Linked DNA regions of Struthio camelus. The protein of the gene in region 3 purifies or fractionates together with the protein of the main gene of each other region. This does not show direct contact. Links are inferred from orthologs where the notes say so. Each region holds a gene or a part of one and is shown on either strand. Other genes may lie near its edges.

The links.
Region 1: the proteins of STX12 (region 3) and VTI1B purify together in Homo sapiens (affinity purification with mass spectrometry; 3 studies listed by BioGRID and IntAct, counting the BioPlex papers as one, with this or other methods). This does not show direct contact. The link is inferred for Struthio camelus from reciprocal best matches to the Homo sapiens genes STX12 and VTI1B.
Region 2: the proteins of STX12 (region 3) and VAMP7 purify together in Homo sapiens (affinity purification with mass spectrometry; 3 studies listed by BioGRID and IntAct, counting the BioPlex papers as one, with this or other methods). This does not show direct contact. The link is inferred for Struthio camelus from reciprocal best matches to the Homo sapiens genes STX12 and VAMP7.

Annotation. Positions count from the first base shown.
Region 1 is NC_090946.1:46,592,370-46,600,060, forward strand, and holds the start of VTI1B (vesicle transport through interaction with t-SNAREs homolog 1B), read right to left. Parts: upstream 3,015-7,691; 5' UTR 2,885-3,014; coding exon 2,770-2,884; intron 1-2,769. Other genes in the region: retinol dehydrogenase 12, read left to right, coding at 4,714-4,916, 6,543-6,661. UniProt on the Homo sapiens protein: V-SNARE that mediates vesicle transport pathways through interactions with t-SNAREs on the target membrane. These interactions are proposed to mediate aspects of the specificity of vesicle trafficking and to promote fusion of the lipid bilayers.
Region 2 is NC_090952.1:3,659,751-3,667,312, reverse strand, and holds the start of VAMP7 (vesicle-associated membrane protein 7), read left to right. Parts: upstream 1-4,548; 5' UTR 4,549-4,671; intron 4,672-5,286; exon of another isoform or gene 5,287-5,372; intron 5,373-5,611; exon of another isoform or gene 5,612-5,783; intron 5,784-6,240; exon of another isoform or gene 6,241-6,309; intron 6,310-7,371; exon of another isoform or gene 7,372-7,473; intron 7,474-7,562. Other genes in the region: DNA-directed RNA polymerases I and III subunit RPAC2, read right to left, coding at 3,446-3,553, 4,439-4,477. UniProt on the Homo sapiens protein: Involved in the targeting and/or fusion of transport vesicles to their target membrane during transport of proteins from the early endosome to the lysosome. Required for heterotypic fusion of late endosomes with lysosomes and homotypic lysosomal fusion.
Region 3 is NC_090964.1:2,911,203-2,918,864, reverse strand, and holds the start of STX12 (syntaxin-12), read left to right. Parts: upstream 1-4,651; 5' UTR 4,652-4,798; coding exon 4,799-4,916; intron 4,917-7,662. UniProt on the Homo sapiens protein: SNARE promoting fusion of transport vesicles with target membranes. Together with SNARE STX6, promotes movement of vesicles from endosomes to the cell membrane, and may therefore function in the endocytic recycling pathway.

The sequences.
Region 1 (7,691 bases), on a different chromosome or scaffold from region 3:
TGCATGAACAGCAGCTTTTTAAGGCACTAAGCTTTCAACAGCTGAACAGGAGAAAGTTTTGAAGTGATCAAAACATTATAATATAGCTCCTCTCATTTACATGACGCACCTAAGCTGTACTGTTTTTTGTAAGTACAAAAAACTGAATTTCTTTAGAGAAACGTATATTTTAAACTGATCCAGGCTATCTGAAATGCTTTCTTATAAACGTGGAAGAGAAAAGGTTTCCAGATCAAGGATTCCGTTATCTTATCGGTACAGAACGGAATAGCATTTCCAAATTTGCGTCCCTCAAAGATGGCTACCAAGGAACTAAAGATTGTCTTACCTGGAGTTTTGGGAAGGTGCCGGACATCTTAAAAGGAGTGTGTAAAATTTCTTTTATTGTCTCCTGAAGTTCTCAGAATCAGATATCTCAAGAAAGAGAGACATGCACACCCCATATGTATTAGAAGCAGACAAAGCACACCAGCAGTGCAGCATGCCTTCACCAGATAGAGAAATTCCTAACATATCTTAAACTCTCTTGGAAATACTTTCCAGAGTATTATTGTTTTTTCCAGTAACAGATTTAAAGAATAACATCATTATACTAAAATTTTGTAGCATGTCTGAAATAATCAATTTGTAATTATTTGTAATCTTTTGAAAAATCTGCAAGCGTTGCAAAAATTGTTTCCTGTAAATATTGTTTACATCTACCGCTCAAGACTATTATAGTCTTGACAAAGCTCTACTTTACTGAAAAACTCATCACTCTCCTTTCTACAAGAAAGTGAGGATCTCTTATAAGGAATTTCTATTATTTTAATATTATAAATATAAAATTAAATTACAATAGAGAGTGTTGTACTTCTTGCTCTATGGAACTTTTCAACCCAAAGTAATGTTAGTGACATTCTCAATTCCCTCAGAGCCCTTCAAGTAAACAGTGATGCAAGCACAGTATTTTCTCATTCTTTTCCTTAAAGTCAGGTATTAAGAGACAGATCCTGCATTTCAAGGCAGCAGGGACAGTCGCTGTCTCATAAAACCATCTTCAAAAAATTTTATGCAAACAATATCCAGATTCACAGGCCATTCTCCAAGAGAGGGTATGTTTTTTACTCTTGCTGACCAGCAGTGAAATTAAGTCAGCTTTGAAAGTTGTAATTTGCAGTTCTGAATGTCCCTCTTGTGCCAAACTCTCTGGAACCTTGATAATGAGGATTGTGACCCTGAATTTAACTCAATATTAAATACAGAGCCAGATACGAAATGGAATACTAAGCTTTTCATAGCACGTGTTATCTAGCACGCAGAGTGGTAGATTCTGAACAAACCAATTATTTCCAGGATTTGTGATTTTATACCTAAATACATGGAACTAAGGAATTCTGGGGATCACAAGACTAAACTATCACAGAGCATGGCTTATAACCTCTACTCATTCAAAAGAACACCCATACTCAGAAGAAACTGGTTGCAGCAGTTCACGACAATTACGTATCGCGTTTCTCCTTTAAAGCAAGTATTTAACCAGAGTCGGCCACACTGGTAGAATTCTCCTTGCCAGATCACTTCCCTTTCCAGTTCTCAGAACACAACCGAATATTAAGAACTGAATTGGAAAGGCACTACAGAGTCTTTACAGAGAGGTGTTCTGTCAGAGAGTGTTTTAACCACTAGTATGAGCTCCATTACTTAGCAAAGAATTCCTAAACAATTAGATTTTGTGCCTAGCAGAACTTTGTCTAGTTTGCTTTACATTAGATTGTTTTTCTAGGCTGTGAGTAGGGCACAGACCACACTTTTAAAACAGTCTTTTACAATAGAAAATTTCACTGGTAAATAAATCTATGAACTGTTTCAGACAAACGTACTGCTGAAAACAGCTTCTAGTTCAACTGATGAGATTTTGAACTGAAATCTTGAAACAAGATAGCAACACTGATGAGAGAAATGCAATTCAGGCAGTTCACTTGCAAATAGCATGAAAATATGCTAAAACTTCAAATCCAGGTAAAGTTCTAGTGCCACCAAGTAACCACCTCTCCACCGAGCTGAGACTGAAGCTGAACGCCCAGCAGCACAGCAGCGCTTGGCTGCAGAGCTGCAATTTGCCAGGCAAGAGGAACTGCTCCCCAGGGGTAAAGTGACACAAGCACCCAGCTGTTTCCATGTCTGGGGCTTTACATGACTATGCCCAATACTCCACAGCAAAGCTATGAGAAAATAGCAGTAATGGGAAAATAAGACATAGAGAAGCCGGACCTAACAGAGCCACGACAGCATGACCTCCCAGGAAGCAAACCAAGGGACAGTCGCGGGGAAGGAAAGTCAGCTCGAAGTGATGCACCAACTTCCTGCAACTGTCCTAGCAAACTCCTTCCCTCCATAAGGGCTTTTAGAGAGACTCTGTTCTCTGGTTGTAAAAATGGATTTATCTACAGAAAAGCAACCCAGGCTCCCTGCAGCTGTCCTGTTAGTTAGCAGGCCCCACCTATGCAGCGGGGTGGCCGGCCGGGAAGCACCGGCAAGGGCCCGGCAGAGGGGCCTCCGAGCAGGGAGGAAGGGAAGCAGCGACGAACGGCGCAGCGACCAGACCCCGCCACAGCCAGGGGAACGGCCCCTCGCCGGGGGAGGTGTCCGAGGGCCGGCCAAGGCCCTGCCGCCCGGTGGAGCCCAGCCGGGCCCGTCACGGCCGCGCCCGGGGGCCGTTGGCCGCGCGCGCCGCTCCAGCCCCTCCCCCCCGGCCGCGGGTAACGGCCGCCGCTCTGCCCCGCTCACCGGCCGCGCTGCCGCGCAGCCGCTCCGGCACGCCCCGCAAGTCTCCGTGCAGCCCCCGGAAGATCTCATGCAGCCGCTCCAAGTGCTCCGAGGAGCCAGAGCCCCGGCTCGCCATGGCAGGCAGCCGCGTCCCGCCGCCGCCGCCGCCGGCTCCCGCGTCCCCCGGCCCGCGCCGCTACCGCGCGGCTCGACGCATCGCCGCTTCCTGGCGGCCGCTTCCCAGCCCGGCGGCGCCGTGGACCCCCCGCTCCGCATCGCTGGGCGCCCCGAAGCGCGGCCCGACCGCAAAACCGCCCGGTGCCGCCGGCCGCACGGCCGGCAGCGCCCCCCCCGGACCGCTCCCCGCGGGGCTCGACCGCCAGCCGCCTGGCGAGAGGGCTGGCGCGGCGTCGGCAGCGGCCAACGGCCGCCAACGGCCGCGGGGGGCGTCAGGCGCTGCCGGGGCAGCCCCGAGGCGGGGCGCGGGGCCTCGCGCCGCGCAGTGCCCGCTGGGGCGCGTAGGCTGCGCGGGGGCGGCGGGGCGGGCGCGGCTGAAGCTGCAGCCGATGTTTCCCGGCCCGAAAGAGGCTTTACGTGAAACGTCTTCGTTCCGACTGCGATGGCAGGTCGCGTCTGCGGTTAGCGTCTTTGTGTCGTACAGGTGGTATACCTTGACAGGAAGGCACGCCCTGAAACAGGCTTTTTCCCCGGAGGGGTGTGTGTGTGCAGGGCCCTGGGTTCCAGCTGCTTCTCGAGAACCAGGAAGGCGGGCTGCGGCCAGGCCGCCGCGCTGTCTGCAGCTGGGGCCAGGACGCGCGTCTGCAGGGAAGCTCAGGTACCAGGAGGCAAAGCAATTTGGTGCCCCGGACTTTTGCTTTAACTCTCTGGTAGAGGTGAGAGTGAACATCTGCGGACTGAACACGGACTTGGAGGCAGGAGCGTGTCCCCCAGCCCTTTATATGTGTGGGCATATAGGTATACGTACCCATTTTGTACGTTTTGCTGGGGTTAATATCATAAATTTAGGAATGACGCTAAGAAAGGGCTTAAAGATAAATGACCTTACTTTGACGTTTTGCATAACTGTCCTCCAGACCACTCCTGAGCTTTCTCTTCAGGTATTTCCCAGCCGAATAATAGGAAAGTTTTATTAAGACAGCAGAACTATTGTTTAAAATAGTTCAGAAAGACAAAGGTTAGAGATGTGTACTCCATCGGGAGAAAACATTAGACCGAAGGTGCAGAGCCAGCTGGCTTTATACTGCAAGCTGATATTTCAAGTAGGGTAGTACATTTACAGCAAAGAGCTAAACGTGAATCTCTTAGCGTAGCAACCAGGCTCAGTGGAAGAGGACTCTAGAGCAGCTAGCACAGCTGAAATTCCTTTCACCTTAGTGGAATTAAGTGACATTAGTGGGTGAAGTAGGGGCATTGCACACACGTGTGAGGTGCCTGCTGTCTTGCAAACGTTGCTCTCAGGGCAGCACAGCGCCGAGCCCCACAGCCAGTGTCCGACAGCCAGGGTGCCCAGACCTGCGCGGTGGTCTCTGAGCCGGAGGGGATGCTCAGGGCGGCACCGGGGAGGCTGGCCCGGGCACCGGCCTGCTCCTCCGCAGCCAGGCTACTGCTGCAGCGCCGGGGCAAGCAAGCAAAAACGTGTCGTTCGCCCACAGCGCAGGCAGGGATTTAAACGAAATCACAGCGTGGGTAACTTTAAGGAAAACCTAGGGGGGACATAGAGCTCTTCAGCCGTGATCGAGGACACGCGGAACCGCACCGGACCTCCGCGGCCAGGAGGCAGCGGTGCGCGCCTCCGCCACCGGGGTCCGCTGCGGGCTCCGCTCCTGGGGGGGGGGCGGCTCCGGACTACAGCTCCCGGCATGCCGTGCGGGGGGGGGCGGTGGCGGCTGCGGACTACAGCTCCCGGCATGCTGTGCGGGGGCCCTCCGGACTACAGCTCCCGGCATGCCGCGCGCGGAAGCGGCTGCGGACTACAGCTCCCGGCATACCTCGCGTCTCGGGGGCGGGGCCTCCCGTTGGCCCGGGCTGCCAGGCAGAGCGGCGGCGAGCATGGAGCCGGCGGCGGCGATGCTCAGCTGCTGGGGAGCCGTGCTGGGGACGGCTGTCTCACTCCCGCTTCTCCTCCTTGTGGCAGCCCCCTACCTCAGGTCTGTCGGGGCTGCTGTACGCGTGTTTTGGGTGCGCGGGGAGCCCTCCTGGGCGCGGATGGGAGAGGGGGCAGGTCGCGTCGTCCGTGCCGGCGCCGGGAGCGGGTGCAGCACCCGGGCGCAGGCCGGGGTGTGTCGTTATTTCAGGGGTCCGGGGGCCTAGTGTTTGCATGCGCGTGAGTCTGTGACTCTTAAAAAAAAATAAATAAATAAAAAAGCTCGTACAGGAATTTAAGCAAGGCGATCGCAGCCAGCCCCGTCTGGCGCCGGCTGTGTTAAATCTGTGCAAGCTCTCAGCGGGCTTGGTTTCTGCGTTCGTAAAATAAATGAATAAATAAATAAATACAAATCATTCAATGCCTGTGCAGAAAATAAAAGATATATAGAAATATCCGTTCTTCAGTAGCACCTTTAATGTCTAGGAAGAAGGATTAGGTAAAAAAAAATCCTGGTTGCTTGGGTCTTTGTCCCCATCAGGTTTTAGGTTTTTTTTTAAAAGGAAGGTAAATAAAATAGTTTTTTTTTTTAACCTCGTGGGGCTAAAATGTTACTTCAACTTCTCTAGCTCTCGTGTCTAATTAACAATGTATTTGAAACAATCTCGCGCATGCCCTAGGATTTGGGATGCTCTTAGGTCTCCGCTCAGTTTTTGCCCTAGTTTCTGTGCTCTTCTGTATCAGCTACTGGGAGACAATAGAAAGCAACAGCTGCCCCAGCTGCGAGCAGTAGGCTGGCTCGCACCTCCGTCTGCTCCTCGAGAGGTGGCTTGAAATGTTTCTGCCTGCCTTTCCTCAGGCTCCCACAGCTGGAAATTTATTCCGGGAAAGGCGTCCCGCCTAGGAGGCAGAAATACAGCTGCGCCGCTGTATCCGGCGGTCCGAGCGGGGCTCCGGCGGCGGCGGCTCGGCGGGGCGGGCAGCCGCCGCCGCGCCCATGGGCTCAGCCGCCGCATGGCCGCCTGCCGATGGCGGCAGCCAATGGGGAGCCGTGGCTCCACTTTGTGCAACGGCGCGGCCGGGCGAAGCCGGCGCGAGGGCGGCGGTTGGAGGGCGGCGGGGGCCCGACCGAGAGCGACGCGACTGGCCTCTCCCGCCGGGCTAGCGGCGTGGCTGCGAGTTTCTTGGTGGCAGTGCGGCAGCACGGCGTGGAAACCCGAGCCTCACCCGCGAGGGCCTGGGAGAGGCGCCTCTGTGCCAGGCGGTGATGGTGCCCGCCCTTCTGTCCTCGCCGAGCCTTCCTCTCCGCACGACTGGCCGTCAGCTGCGCCGAGGGTGAGCTGGGCTTGTCGGCTCTGTGTTCGAGCACTGGCGCTACGCTCAAAGCAGAGGGGTTTGAAGATGACTAGGAACCTGGCGTGGTGGCTTGATCGGGACACCTAATCAGAGGAGGCAGCTGCTGGAAGCTTGAGGAGGGAAGGAGGGGTGTAGTGAACTGGCAGGTGGAACCACTTTAGGTAACTCTCCACATGAATCACAGGTTATTCTGAGAGCAGTAACTGGCCCAGCTGCTGGGGCACAGCCAACCAAGAGCTGTAAGTGATTAGCCCTGGCCTGTACCTCATAACCAGAAAAACTGTCCTTGGACCTTTTCTTGTTATCCTCTTGTTCCTGTTATCTTCTTTTCCAGGAGGTATGTTGCTGGAGGACAGTGTAAGTCAACAGCTAAGCTAGATGGGAAGGTGGTGATAATCACAGGAGCCAACACAGGCATTGGGAAGGAGACAGCCAGAGATCTTGCACGAAGAGGCAAGTCACTGTCCTACATCAGCAAGCATCCCTTTGAAACTGATATGTGTGCGCATGTGTATCAGTAGTCCCTTTTCTGGATCTAAGGGAGGATTATCTTGCACTCCCATCTATAGAGTTGGGAGTCTAACAGATAGCACCTAGTTATCCTTTTTCTTGGTGAAAACCCCAGCTGCAAGATATAATGGTGGTGGGAACGTGTCCTGATGGCACATTACTCTGGTGCAGAGGCCCGAACAGCCTTTGGAGTTGGTCATGCTCTACAGCATACTTGCATATTACAGAGGAGCCCAAATGTTGTTTCTCCAGAGGCTGTAACCACTGAGTCACAAGTCCCCCGTTCCTCAACTGCTTTCATTGTATCAAGGTGTATCTTGTGACATGAGAAAGCACTGCACTACAACCCTTTTGAGAGGACTGGGGAAGTTCCTGGTATCACTGGGCCACCACATTTGTTAGAAGCTGGGAAATGGCTTAGGTTCACTGGTGTTTGTTTTAGTTATTCATGTTTCAAGCTAATTTGGTTTAAATGCTTTTTGGCTAACTGGTGTGGAGATTAACGTAGCAGTTCATAATCAGTTTAGAAACTATTCTGGCTGGGGTCTGTTAGGCAAGAGGGCCAAACTCAGTTGCCCAGTGGGGCGAGGTTGTTGCAGCTCCATGTCCACAGGTCCAGCCAGTCGCCAGGCTGAGAATGTATCCCCAGTAGGCACCTGCACAAACACGCATATACTACATATAGACACAAGGCTGGCCACACAGATCAGCTCAGACAAACACACTCGGCACTCACACATATGGCACCAACAGCCTCATCCTGTTTCTGTCTCTGGCTGATCAGGAGGAAGGTCTGTTAGTGGGATATATATACATACATACAGTGTGGATCCCTCCAGCACCAGGGCTTAGACACTCAGTTCAGCCCTGGCCCCTGGATCCCCGGTCTCCCCAGTTTGCTGGCACCTGGACATATGAGCCCCTGAAGTCTGCAGCCCCGCTCCACTTGCTGGTACAGACCCCCTCACTCGCG
Region 2 (7,562 bases), on a different chromosome or scaffold from region 3:
GAGGAGAAGAGCCCAAATAAAGTCTGTAGCCGGCCTGCCTTCAGGATCCATGATGCAAAGTGGGTGGGACCAACTGTTCAGGTTGATGTGTTGCCAGGTCTCATCATTAGCAGGTGGCTAGACATGAATGAGAGGGACAATCAAAAAAACTCAAGGGGCGGGGGGAGGGGGGGGCACTGCTTGTCAGCAGAGAAATCTCATCTCAGCTTGAAAACAAAGGAAACTTTGCCACAAGTTGCTATGTGCAAGTCCTAATTCATACGCTTAGGATGTGCCTGGGGAGCCTTTGAGACTTCAGGCACCTACCAGCAAGCCTCAAGGGTGCTGAACCGCACACAAAATGAACCCAGCAATGCCTGCAGCCAGAAGTCAACCTCTGATCCTCCTGCTGCTTTTGGCTCAAGTGCTTGCAAACAGCACTGCCAGCTAGCACTTCCTAAGCAGGCTCGTTTGGGATCCCCTCCAAAACCAATAAGTCACTTAATTAATTGTTCTGCTGTCAGAGGGCTGAAGATCCTCTGACCTTTCCGCAGGCTCAGCACAGCCACCGTGGAGCCTGACATGGCCCGACAGCCCCCAACCATTTCCTCTCTCAGCAGCATCGAGAGGTTTCAAGGTTAAGTGTGGAGCCAGGCCCAGACGAGTGCTGAACTCTTTACATCCTGCCCGCAGCCAAATCCTCAACCGCTCCAGGAGTTTTATAACCCCTCACATTTCCTGCTGTGTAGCAACACTGCACAGCAGTCCCATTCCTCCTTCTGCAGGTACAACCCCCACAAGGAATTGACTCAGCATTTCAGAAGGGGGGATGCAGACTGATTTCCGAGGAGGAGAGTTCACCCAGGCCTGCAGCACAACTCAAGGGCAGGCTCCCGAAGCACCAGATCTCACAGAAGGGTAGATGTGATGCAGCAATGTTACGATGACAACGAAGACGCTGGACTGATATGGTCTCTGTCATCTCCCAGCATCTTGCAATCCATTCCCACGATCAAAGCACTAAGTCTTACTGACAGGGAAAATAAGGTAGTAGCAAAAACACTTTCCCTTGGTGCGGAAAGACAGCGTATAAGTGACTTGCCAAAGGCCATTTGGGCAGTCAGTGGCATGGATGAGACACCTTGCAAGCTCTTCCAGTTGCTAGACTCAACACCTCCCTCCTTCTTCCCAGAACCAGCTGCTGGCCTTAGTCTACCCTCCTGTAAGGCTTTTCCAAGAATACATTTATTAAGATTAATATCACCAATCGTACTTAAAAGCTTGTTTTCTTCCAAAGGCTAAAGGCTCATACAAGAACAGACTAACTCAGGAGTCACCTGCCTGCCAGGACAGGTCACATGGTCCACAGTTTGCTTCCTGCACCCCATCCCAGGATTAGAAGTGTGCCTGGGCACGTGCCAAAATCACAAGTGTCCCTCACCCCCCCAAGACAGGTACATTTCTGTTCACTGGGACAGTGACACGCTTGCAGTTTGGGCATAGGATGGGTGAGAAGCCCGAGCACGCAACTGTCGCATACTCCTTAGCTCAGACACAACCCTGGCCCTGCCCGGAACTGCTCCGGTGTCTTCATACAGTCCTCTCCAGCACCTCCACTTCTAATGACAACAGGCACGATCTGCAGTAATGAACTCAGCACTGCATAAATACAGCTGTACTGCATATGGACCCAAACAAGGCAGCTGTACTTGCATTATCCTGCCTTTGGGCTAAAAAGTCCTGTGGAGCGAGCAATCCACACAGCACTTCTACCTGCCCACTGTAGTCAGAGCACGGAGGAGAAAAGGACAGTAGCGCCATCCTACAGATGGGAAACTGAGGCACTGGGTGATTCAACAGTTTGCTCAGAGTCAGTCTCAGTGACAAAGTCTGATGCTGCAGTTAGATTTCCTGAATCCTGCATCAAGGCTTCACCTATTAGACTCTTCCCCTGGACAAAAAGGGGAACAAACACAACAAACAGATGTACAGGCAAGAGCCAAGAGATGCTTTTCCAGGCTGAGATCAAACGTTTACAGTTGAGTTACAGTGTTGTATAAAAAAGATAGGATGAAAAACAGGATGACTGGGACTTTAACATACAGCACTAGAAGTTGCACTGACTTCAGACTCATTCGCAGAGTTGAAGAAAAACATCTGCACGGGAAGGTGAGAAACAGGACAGGACATATCTCTGGTACAATTGCTGCATTAACTTATGAGTCTGCAGCAAGTGCTTAAGAGAAGCAACATGTGGCAGAGATGCAGAAGTCGATCCACCATGCAAGACGCTACCATGAGTTTAGCTTTCTCTGCCTGCTTACTGCAATCTGCGCACCCACTGCATTGATCGGGTAGACAAAAGCCAGAGCACGGCTGTTTCAGGCAGCTGAAAGAAATACTCTGTGTTGAACAAGTTCGCTTCACAAGAGATTTGATTTCTCTCTCCTCTTTCCTGTGAAGAGTCCTCTGACACAATTCTGGATCTCAGCCAGAATGTAAGCTTCCTTTCTTATCAAGCTATTGGCCCACCTAGTCATGTTATGATGATAGCATAGATGCTATCTGATGCTTCAGAGGAAAACAGCCACCTTCCCTCTGAGAACACGCCTCCTGAAGGATGGAGTCCTTTCTGGTCCCGGCACCAATCAAGCCTGCAGCTGGAGGCAGAAAGCTGAGATTTTTCAGGGAGTTCTTACACATCTCACCCAGGAGGTGTTTATGTACCAAACTACCCATCACATGAAAACTCCTTCTCCTACGAACCAACCTGGAAGAAAGCCCTGACTCCTGTGGGATAGAGAATTTTGCTCTTCTGGAGTCTTTTGTCTTTGGTTACATGCTGACTTGCCAATAATATTACCAAGTTGTTCTTGTATTATGGTACAGGAAGAAGGAAGAACTGACGAGATCACAAAGCAGCTTTTGGGATCTGAAACGCAGGACTGATCAAATTAAAATGTTTCACGGACCGCAGAGATGGAAAAGCCCAAGGTTATCCAAGGTATACCCTCCCAGCAAGGTCAGGATACAGCCCTGGAGGCCTGGCCACCCACGCCTCAGACAACCTCCTCAGCCACAGTCTCTCATCCTCAGAAAGTTCTCCTGCTTAGGGAGGCTGTGATTTATGACGATGAATTATTTAGCATTGAATTTGGTGCCTAGGTACTGCAGTGGTGTATATATTAGCACAGCACTGAGCTATATGGGATCAGGATCGGATATGAAGTAGGACTGTTCCCTTCCTGCAAGTCACTTGTTCCTACAAGTCACTTGTTCCTATCCTAACTGCTGTTTACGCATAATTTGTCTTTTATGCTAGAATATACAGTCTTCTGCTGGTTCAGTCTGTATGAACCAATAACAGTCTCTACGCCTTCTCCTGGTTTTTTACGGTACTGCATTCCTCCCTCTGAGAGCCTGGTTTGCTGCCAAGGGCCTCTCTCATAACTGCAGCGCTTCAAACCTCCATTTCATTCATCACGTGAGACTTGCAGGATCGGGCTTCCTTGCAACAGCAGCTTTCAACCCGCGGCTTGCACACACCAGGGGCAAGAGTTTGGTCATGCAAAACCTGAAAACGGAAAGTAAAACAAACAAACAAACAAACAAACCCCAACTATTGCCTAGAGACTGGAGTTCCTTCTGTAGGGTAGGCCACGGCATCAGGAATAGTTTTGGAGCCCCCAGATTGAGAGACTATGAAAACCTGTTGTGCTAGGTCCTCCCCGAAGGGAGCTTGTAAAACCAGACAAACTTAAAAGAGCCCATTTGTTTCTGCTGTACAGCTGCCCCGGTCCTCAGCTCCCCCTGTTTTTGACTGAGAGGCTGGCGCGCAGAAGAGCAGACCATCCTGTGGCAGCTCTCCCCGTAGCCACGCGTGCTGTCATCTGCCAGCTTGGTGCCTCAAACCCCGCTAGCGCGAAGTGTGGTGCCATCTAGCGCCTTTCACTGCCTGCAACGGGTACCAGAGAGGAAGGAAGGAAGGAAGGAAGGAGGGAGGGAGGGAGGGAGGGAGCAAACTCCGGCCAGCGACCCCGGGACGGGTGCAAGCGAGCAGATGGGGCCCGCTGCCAGCGCCTGCACAGCCAGCCGAGGCCTGGCGGTCGCAAACGCGTAGCGAGCCACCTCCGACAAACAAGGCTGCTTTTGTAAAACGCCAGTCCTGGCCTCTTCTCGGCCAGCTCGTTAACGCGACACCGCCGCTGCTCGCTACAGGGCAGTAAAGGGAGCCTCAAACAGCAGCACCGCAAGGCGCGCAAGTCAAACGACGCAGGCCGCCACACGGCGGGGCCCGCCCGCCCCTGGCCGAGCGCCCCTGGCCGAGCGCCCCTGGCCGAGCGCCCCTGGCCGAGCGCCCCTGCCTCCCTGCGCGGCGGGAGCGACCCCTCCGACCTGCCCCGGCCCCGGCCCCGGCCAGCCCCGAGCCGCCGCCGCCGCCGCCCGCCGCGGCACTCACCACCTCCAGCACGGCCTTCTTCTCGCCCTCCTCCGCCATGGCCGCGCCGGCCCGCGAACTACAGCTCCCAGGAGGCAGCGCGGCCGCGGCGGGAACTACAAGCCCCAGGGGGCCGCGCGGCGCCGCCGCGCCGGAAGTGCGCGCGGGCGACGCGCGGCGGGGCAGCCGCAGGGCGGATAAGAGCGCGGCGGGCGGAGGCGCCTGCGAGCGCGGCGCCTCGTCCGCGCCGGCCGGTGAGCGGGGCCGCGCCCGGTGCCTCTTCCCGCCCCGCCCCCCCTCCGGGAGAGCAGCCGGGGGGGGGGGGAGCGCGGGCCGGGGCCAGAGCGGAGCCCTCCGGGGAGGCGGCCTGGGCCGGGCCCGCCCGGGCAGGCGGCGGGGGGTGTCTGGGGCTGCCACAGGGCCGCGCTGCTTCCTCGGCAGGTCCCGTTCCCCCTTCCCCCCCCCCCCCGGGCCTTAACGCACCTCCTCGTCTCGGCCCTGAAACCTGGGGGCTCCTGAGCGGGGTCGGGTGCCAGGGGCAGGGCCGCCTGCCCAGCTCGGCCTGGAGCGGCCCGGTCCGCCCCGGGGGGGTGGGGGGGAGGGCTGCCTTCACAGCTGCCTGCTTTAGTTAACGTCTGGGCTGTGGCGTTGCTGGTGTAACTCAGGTGATGAGGGTCTTAAAGGTTAGGTGCTGATGAATAATCTGCAGCGGTGCTTGTGATAGGAGGGTTGGGGGAGAGGCTGTGAGTAATCATGCTCTAGGATGTGTTTCAGCTGTTCTGTGTTACCTCCTTAGTGTGCTGTTTAGTCGAGAGCTGTGATGTTGTTTCTTTACTCCCTCTTGTAAAACGTGTGATGTTGCCTTCCAGAAAAGGTGGTGGGCCTGGAAGAGAGACTGGATTAATCTTGCCTAATGACTTGTATTCCTAGTGATGAACCAGAAGAGGCACCTGGAGTAAGCTGTGTGGGCAGAGAGGAAGCTAAACTGTTCGGTTAAGTTAGTGCATGAAGTGTGTGCTTCTCAGGCTTAAAATGAACAAATAAGCTCTGGGACTTAAAAGTTGGAATACCCCTAAACTATTTTTAAAAATTAAAAAAAGAAATGATTGCTTAGGGAAGTGAAGGAAGGGTTAAAGGGAAGTCTAGACTGCTTTCTGCTGAAGTCACTCTACTCAAACGGTCTTTTCATTGCAGCCAGGCAGCTTGCAACTTACAGAGTTGCAACACCTTAACTTATTTCAGGTTTAAAGCCAGTAGTACTGTGATGCCCCTTGCTTTCTGTACAGTGCATTTCTGGAAATATAAGCAGTAACTTCCTCGCTCACTTAGCCCTGAAGCTTTTGAATGCTTTGATCAAGCAGCACTGGTGAGTCCCCTCTGGCTGGTAAGGGCAGTACTGCTGAGTGATAGAGAATGGGTGCAGTTTCTCTGGGTTGAGCTCTTGCCCCAGCTATCTTAGCTACCATCAGACAGTTTATTCTCGGTCGTTAGTGAAGTGTGAGCACCAAACAAGTTCTGTGTGTGTTTTTTTTTAATCTCACTTGAAAATAATAGGCCGTTTGTTATATTTGGAGACTTCATGGCTGAAACTTTAAACATTGCATTGCAGACTGAGCCTGTATATTTTTCATTCTCTAAGATGCTGCACACTTTTCTGGGCCCTTCTGTCAAATATCACAGGAGAACTTGCACATAGCAGTGTGATACATCTTGCATTTAGTCCTTAATGTATGAATGCAAAACTCAACTCCCCTTTAGTACTTAAGCTGTACCTGATGCTTTGGGCACATCTTAAGGAGCTTTTTGGGTCTGGTGTTTTCTAGGTGGCTGAGGAATACAGCCTTTCCCTCCTGCCCTGGAGCCTTTTGATGTAAGGCCTGCCTGGTATTTCTGTGAGTTCAAACTGTCCTTTAGGAAGGCTTGCTCATGGTTGTTTTCAGCTATTAACTATCTTAAGTTTAGACAGACACTAACTCTGATTTCTAGGTTATATGAAGAGATTATATGAAGTAGTTGACTTCAGTGGATATAATTCCAGACTCTCTTGTAGCTTATGAGGAAAGATGTTTTCCAGAAGTTTAGCAGTTTGTTTTTTTTTCTTTAAAAGAAAGCACAAGTATCTTCTCCTAAGAGCTGGATGAGACACTGCTTAGAGAAATGTGCTCATTGTTAAGTTTGTTTTACTCCTTTTAATCAGCTTCCAGCAAAGCTGAGAGGAGAGTAGCTGGGAGAATGTGGCTGTTGACTACTAAGTAAGGCTGAAATTTGATTTCAGTCAGTTGGTTTCCCTGCTTACACAGGATTGCAGAGCCAAATTACTGACTTCTGGTGAAGCTGTATGGATAGCTTCTGAAGTCTCAGCTAGCTAGCTAGCATCATCTTACTTGTATCCTGTTGGTAACAGCCCTACTGAACTCCTGTCTCACGAAGAGCTCTACAAATAGCCTATATTAAAAGGGTGGAGACTCTTAAAGTTGTGGCAAGGACTTTAGAATCCTCAATTTGAACCTAGAGTTCTTCATTTTGGGAATCAAGGTATCTCTGTGCTTGGGTGGGCTTTGTAGTTCTGAGGTTAGTTGCTGTATGGCAAACTACTGATCCTTCACAGATGTGTGCATGTGTTTTGTTTTGTGTGTTTTTTTTAAACTGGTCCTTTGTATTGGTCCTATTCTCTTTTTCTATGCGAAAAGACTTGTTTCCTGATATTTGTCAGTCACCTGATTGCTCAAGAGGCTTAATCATGTTTGTTTAGTCTCAGCTGTGACCTAGTGTTATACCACATGCTGACACTGTTCTGGTTATGTTGCTGAGCTGGCCAAAACACTGCAGACTCTCTCAGGGGCTCTGATCAGACATGATTATATTCATTTCTCTTGTTTCAGTTAGTATTGTTGCAGATCAGTGCGCTGTTGTAATCCTTGTTGCAAACTCTTAGAACTGTGCTTTCTGCCCAGCAGTTCCTTCCTGGTAGGAAGTAGGAAAAGCATTGGTGATGGCTCCTGAAGAGACTTAGCACCCTGCTGAAGAGGAGTTGAGTGAGTAGAAAACAGAACAGAGTGAGTTGTGTAGTTCATTTTTGTTGAAATTCCTGAAAATGATCAAAGCTAAAGGGAGGGATAGGTGACCAGTTTAAGCTTGTCTAGAA
Region 3 (7,662 bases):
GCAGAAACAAAAGCAGCAGGCTGGACTGCAGTTTGTTGGGCTTCCAGGAATCACCTTGATTGTGATGACCCCCTATACCCTCTTCATAATTTCCCTTCTCTGTATCTTCTCTGTGTGCAATATTCCCTTTCGCTAACAGGCCTGTAGGGCATCCAAACAGATAGACATAATATATATCCACATTGTGTTTCCCTCTTCAAGGATCATTCCAAATTTAATTATGTGTTGTCAAGTTGGTTGAAAGATCTTTGAAGGGGATAAGAATCAGTCATGAACAGGTGTTACAGTTATTTTATTCCACAGTTGGATTTACCCAATGAAGAGGAAAGATCCTAGATTCATGGCAGCAGCATGCAAGCTGATGTCTTTTGTTATGGTAACAGAGTATAGATTGCTAGGTCTGAATCCAGTATCTCTTTCCTTGCATATGTATGCTCTTTCTGCCATCCATCCTACTGTTTCCCACAGCAGTTTGTTGGGAGAGGATTGGTTCTTCAGCCTCCGGGGGAAGGTACCAATGAAAAGGGACTAATCTTCCTTGGAGAGCTGGACATTTATTTAGAGACATCTAGAAACTAGGATGGGTTCACGCTGGTGGGTCTGTAGGTAAAATGGCAATGCAGGTGAATTCCTTGAAAAGCAGCAATGAGCAGGGTTGGAAGACAGGTGCATTGTTCTCTTTTTGTCTTTTCCACAAACTTTCTTAGACCCAAGAGATTACCTTTGTAGTCTGTGAGCCATTCCTCTTCTTTCTATTGATTCTGTCTTCTGTGCACTTTGCTTCTCTATAGATAGCCCTATTTCATTAAAGTAGTGTGCAGAAAAAGATGTTTGCAATTCTTCAAACACTAAAGAATTGCCCAGTCTAAGCCTGCTTAAAACTGCTGTTGTATCACCATTTTTTTTATAATCAAGTCTTACTTTTGCCACAGGGAAGGACAGAATTTGGGCTAGAAGGTCCTGGTACGCAACAAGAGTAGCTAGCTCTTGCAATTTAGTTACACCAGCTGGTGATGAAAGATCACTGTATATGGAGTGGGAAATAGTTGGTAGGTTGAAGGTTGAGCTGTGCTCCCTTTCTCTCCTATGGGACGGTCAATGGTGTGCAGTGAAATCTCACAACCCAGAGATTCCCTTCCTTTGGTATTAACATTTTTATCAATTTTTCCCCCAAAAAACAACTCCCAGGGCACAAAAACACCTACAGAAGATGCTGATGCTTTTCAGCCAGACAATGTGAAGCGTAAATCATTAGGCTAGATATTTACACAATAAAGCATGTCTGTCTTCAAGTGACTGGCTGTTTGTCTGCCACCTCTTCAGATCTGACACTGACAAAACAGAATAGAGAAAGAAAAAGGTCTCTTGTCCTGCCAGATGAAAAGTGTCATTATTCCTCAAAGGAAGGAAGGGAGTGTGGGACTTTATCAGCAACATACGCACCACACTTAAATGGAAGCCCTTTCAGAAGGACAGCCCATCCAAGAGAACATACTGTACATCTCAACTGCAGTCAAACAATTCCAGTGTCATTACATATCTTTGGGAACTATGACTCCGATATAACCAAGACAAAGATCTGGATTTTCATGGTAACCTCCTGTCAAGAGATAAAGACAATTCTTTTAAAGTGCTTCTTCTTCTCTTTAAAGTGTATTTTCATCTCCTGTCAACGATCTGCTAATTTAGTGTATATAAAAAGATCTCTTTCGATCTGAATTACTTGCTGCTGCAATCCAGCAGCTCTAAATGTTTGTCTTCCTATTTTACAATTTCTTTAGAGTATACATTTTTAGGGATGACAGTTTCTCTCCTAAAATATTTCTGAAGCTGAAAAACAATTTCCAGTTTGTTTGTTTGTTCCTTTACAAAGGAGGTAAAAGAGGTGCTTCACTAAAATTCATAGGAGCTGGAATTCATTACATACTATCTTAAATTAGCTTCTGTCACAGTATTGATCAGCCTGGGAAATTTCTGTGCTATACTCAGTGCCCTTTCCAATGCCTGCCTTCTTTTACCTATTTTCATTCCTTCTTTTATTTGTCTTCACTGAAAATATGACATGACTCGTTGAATGTGAGCATGTGTTTTAACAACTGAGGACCTGCAAGTATTTGCCTACATGTTCCACTTTAAGCAAATGAGCTGTCCAAACTGCTCGTGTGCTTAAAGTTAAATAAATACCTATTGCGTACACAGTTTTTCATCCAAAGTCCTGCTCTATATTTAATATCATTTTTATCTGTTAGGAACATCCTTCTGTAATTAGGAATACGTTATCATATTCTCATCAAGCATTTCTCAAAAGAAATACACCATTACTTTGAATGATTTTCAATGTTTCATACCCTAACCTCTTTGTTTTACAGGGCATGACCTCAGATTTTCTGAGCAAACAAGTTTATTCAAAAATGGTGCGTACTTTAAAATTACATAGCTTCTGCAGTATGTGGTAGAAACACATGCAGACTATACTCTTGATTTGAAAGCTAGCATTGCCTTACTATCTGAACAAAAACAGGTAAGTTGAAAAATTTTGTTAAAATATGAATTTTTAATAATTTGAAAATAAATATTTTTTCAAAATTAAAACAGGTTTTCTATTTTTACACATCTAATTGTTTTCTTACTACTTTATATTCAGGAATTGCTGAAGTGATTTTTTAAATCTCTGAATACACATTCAAAATACTATTGCTTTCTATATTACAATATTTCATATTTATAGCACTCATAGAACAGAAATGAACACACCAACAGCCTCACTAACGAATGCACACTGAAACCCCAAATCAATAAGGTAACGGTAACCAAAATCATTTTGCAATACTGAACTTGACCAAATCAAAAAATTGAAATGCTTCGGCAAGGTCATATGTCCATCTCTCCCATTTGCATTTGCAATATGAAATCAGTGAGATTCACTCTTCAGTCACTGATGTGATTTTACCTAAGATGGGAGCCTTAAGTATGGACTAGCCTGTGTGCGAAAGGTTCAAAGTAACTTTGTTAATTTATGGGAAGGCATTATTAGCACTGCAGTAATTTTATTCTGAAGAGACTATATTTTCAGGTAACAGGATTACATATACATGCATTGTTAAAACCACTTTAGTGTCTTTAGGACAACAAATGTTTTAGCTTGTTGGCTGTAATAGTTTTGTAAAGTTCAGATAGGATTTCCTCCAGGGGTGGCATTAAAAGGCACCTATAAATTAGTTAATTATACGTTCTAATCTAAAATTAAAACAGAAAAAGATCAAATTCAGCTTGATTAAAATTTATGATCTGAAACAAACAAATGATATAACTGATGATTTAATTTAAATTGCCCGGCTGTCTTGAAAAAGGAATTTCCCCAGGAGTCAGCATAAAAATGAATATGTCATGTTTTCAGGCACAATTTAAAATTATATACAAGGAAAGAGTGAGTATTCATAATTGCCCTTGGCAGTACTACAGTAATGCAAAGATAAAAGTCAAAGTTTAATCCTAAACTGTTATGTATGCTCTACTTTTAAACTATTATAATTCTCACACTGATTTATGGGCTAAATATAAATTCTGTCCAGGCCTTTTACAAAGTGTAAAGCATTCATTGCCTTTCAGAGATGGTAGAGCCATATTCATCTTATCTAGCTATAATGAGACCCTAAAAAGGTAGCTAGCTACCTGTGGTTTTGCATTACATTCATCTAAACATAGATTATGACCAATGCAGGGAGTTTTGGCCTTCCCTGTGCCCATGGTCCATCTTTCCCTTGTGTACGTACCAGCCTTAGTTTGGATGATACTGGTTGATATAACAAAAAATGGCTGACCTAAAACTGGCTGATCTAACAAAAATGACGAGTTCTTGATTCAGCTCATCCAAAATACTACCATGGGCCCAGACAGGGACGCAATCTCGTGAGGAGGGCATAACCTTCCCTCAAATCTAGCCCATGCTTTCTGATACTGCTTGGTAGTAAAACCCATGCACTTAGATCCATAGCTTCATTTCAATGTCCTCCCATGTAACCAGGGGCCACAGTGCCAAAAACAGCTGTGACATTCTCCTCAGCGTCCTCCTGTGCAGCTGCAGTACCACCAGACCCTCTGCTGTGCTCCTCAGCACGCTCCTGCGCAGCTCCGGTGCCACCAGGCCCCACGCCGGGCTCCTCCTCAGTGTCCTCCCGTGCAGCTCTGGTGCCACCAGGCCCCACGCCGGGCTCCTCCTCACTCCCATGACACTACTCCATTCCTCCATTCCCGTGACACTACTGCTGCCCTGGGTGATCAGTTCAGCTCTCTGAGCCCGCAGAAACCTGCCTGCCCGCAGGCACTGGGCACCAGACAGAGTCGCGGCCCGCCCGGGAAGAGCCAGCGCCCCATCCCAGGCAGCTGGGGTGAGCTCCCGGCCGCAGGGCGCTGGCAGGGCCGTGCCCAGCGACGGTCCCCCCACCCTCTCCTGCCGGGGAGCGGGGCCCAGGCCCGAGGCAGCCGGGAGCCCAGTCCACGGAGGCCGCGAGCGCCAGCCGTGACCGCGGGACGAAGGTCCCCAGCGGCCGCTGTCTCCGGCGCAGGCTGACGGGGCCCTGAAGGCCGCCGGGCCGCGCCGGGCCGGCGGGCGCCGCGTTACCATGGCACCCGGCGAGCTCGCGCCCCCCGCGAGCGCGCGCGCGCACGCGCCGGCAGCCGCGCGGCGCCCATATGCGGCCGGGCCTGTCAGCTGTGCCCGGCGGTTGCGCATGCGCAGAGGCCGGAGCGGTGTTCGCAGCTGAATTGGCCGTGCCGCCGCGCTCCCTTCAGCCTGGCCATGTCGTACGGCCCGCTGGACCTCTACCGGCCCGCGGCGCCGCCGGGCCCGCTGCCGCGGGACTTCGGCAGCATCATCCAGACATGCAGCGCCAACGTGCAGCGCATCGCGCAGTACAGTGAGTGCGGCCGGGCCCGGGTGGGGCGGGGAGGCCCGGCCCGGCCCGGCCCGGCCGCGCCCCTGTGACGGGACTCCGAGGGCCCCGGGAGCAGAGAGGGCGCCCGGGGCCCGGGGCGGGCGGCTGCTCGGTGGTGGTGACCGGGCGGGAGGCAGCCCCTGCGCCGGCGGGGCCCGCCCCTGGCTAGGCCGGTGCTGGGAGGGCGCTCTGGCAGGGCCGTGCCCCGGTGGGACAGAGGAAAGCGCTGTCTGTCCCAAATCTTGCGCTTCTGAAAGCGAACGCCCTTCCCGAGTATGGCAGCGAAGCAGACTGCCTGATCCCCGAGTTAGGCGGGAAGCGTTATCCCCCAGGGAGCAGCCTGCGCCTAGGATGCAGGCGCACACAACAGCTAGCAGCAGAACGACCTCATCCGTGAATTTTAATTAGTAGCTTGCTTATATTGTTTGTTACCACCGCACGTGCAAATGCATGCCAGCATCGCATTTGGTGCAGTGTCTGTGAAATTCCTATCGAGTTGTGTTACTCTCCAGCGGAACTTGCATCCCATGTTGCTTGCCAGAACGAGGCTTCTGATTCACTTTTATCTGCCTTTGCATGTGGTTTTGCTAAGTGAAAACAGGGAGCCAAAGACAACCGCTTCGTTGTTCAGAGAATCTGTAAGAGGTTTCTTGTTGCAGGAATTTCTGAAGGCTGATAATTTAACAATTCTTCTTAAACTCGTTGGCAGAGTTCTGCAGAGAAGCAACAGTTGTTAGACAGAATGTTGTTAAGTAAATGACACTGCAGTTCTTTTGGTCATCTGACAGTCATTAAAAAAAAAGTTATGAATGATCATAAGCTAATCATTGAAATCCTAGGACTGATCACTGAAATAGTACTTACTGAATGAGTTGTTTCCAAAGGAGTCTTTGATCTAATGCCAGTCTTAGAAAAGGCGTTCTATAACCTAATCTAGATGCAAGTTTTTTAGGGGCAAGGCCAGTTAAACATATTGGTTCCCCTGAAACTTGGTAACTTCTCTAACGTGATTATACTAGGCTATTAGTATTCCTGAAACTGCCCTGCATTAGCTCAAAGTTGTTTTCACTTCCTTTGGTATAGCTGTGGCCACCAGTTAAATCGCTCTTAAATTCTCCAAATGATATTTTGTTTATTTTCTTTTTTCTTTCTCTCAGATCTCCCTTTGAGAGCCTTCCTCTCACATTAGCTCAGTTCCTCTTTCTCATAGGACAAGCCTCCACTGTATCATGACCAGTAGCCATCCTATCTCAGTGTGCTGCCTCTCTCAAGGATTAACAGGCTTTATCAAGATGAGCAGAAGCACACAGAACGTCTAACTTAATGTTAGAGTAATCAATTTTATTCCATGTTTTATAAAACCACTCCACTGAAGCCCAGGAGGAAAAGAGAAACTGATGCCTTAAACTTTTCCTCAGCTGTCATTTCATTCGTTGGGGGGGGGGGGGGGGAAACAAGCAAACAGTGGATATGGCAGACTTTCGTTCTCTCCTCTTGGGAAACTCCATAGAGTTACCATGTTGTGCGAACTGTATTTAAAAACAAAAACAAAAAAAAACCAGAAAAACAGCTAGTGGCCTGAGCTACCAAAACTATTGCTTGCAAGACTATTATGGTAGCTCAGCATCTAGGTCAGAGATTTAAATGTTATAAGTAATCTGTAAGTGTACAGCAGTCTCTGTAGAAGTATTTACAGTGCAAAATGAAAGGGTTGGGAAACTGAAAGCTACTGACTGACAGGGCTATTTTTCTGACTCTCCAGCTGATGTGAATGGCCCCTATCCAGAGAATCATAAAGGAAAAAATTCCCAGTCTCTTTCTTTAGCCTCCTGGTCTCTTGCTGTCCTTTTGTGTAGATTCTGTGCATTGTCGTTGGCTGAAATAAGTAAGCGCAGCAAACTACTAAACCTGTCTTGTACCAGGACTAGAATAGAGATTCTTGCACTAATTCCATTTCCACTCCAGAAGATGCTCAAAACAAAACAAAACAATCCCTCCACCATCACCCCGCTACACACACCTGCAAAAAGCAAGGCACGGAATGTCTAGACACTGCAGAGTACAGTCAGTGTGCTAATTTAACTTGACTGTGGACTTTTCTGGTCTTCCAGTAGATGATAATTTGTGATATAAGTGTAGTCTTGCTCACTAGAATACACACATTCAGCTCGGTGTATAGGAAGCTGTTACACAACTCACTGTGTGAGCTGATAGGATTCTAGAAAACCAGTATGTTCTCTGCATGCAGAAGTCAGAATCCTTGCCTGTTTATTAATTAAATCGTATTGCAGCTTTAGCTGAGCTTTCACTGTTGTAAGTTATTGGGCATGACTTTAAAAGAAGTGGCCAGTCTAGAAGTCTGATGTTTCCTTTGTAACATGTTTCATCAACTGAAATGGCCTGCTCCAGGCTGAAAGCAGAAATTACACCAGCAGGATGTAATTGAATTGGAAGTAGCTCTTGGTAACGTCCGGTATTGGGTATTTCAACTTAATGTGGTTCTACAGGCAGCTGAATCGAGTTTATCCTTTTTGGCCTTGCCTGTCTCACCACTTGGAAGCCTAGGATATGATTTCATAATCAGTTTAAACAGTCAGACATTCTACTGCTGTCAGAAGTGGTGCCCCCAGTATCTCTTTAGCAATACTAACAATTGTGCAGCTGTAGAATAAAACAGATCAGCTGACCAAAAATAATATTGGGGGGTGTGAGGAAAGATAAAAAGAGG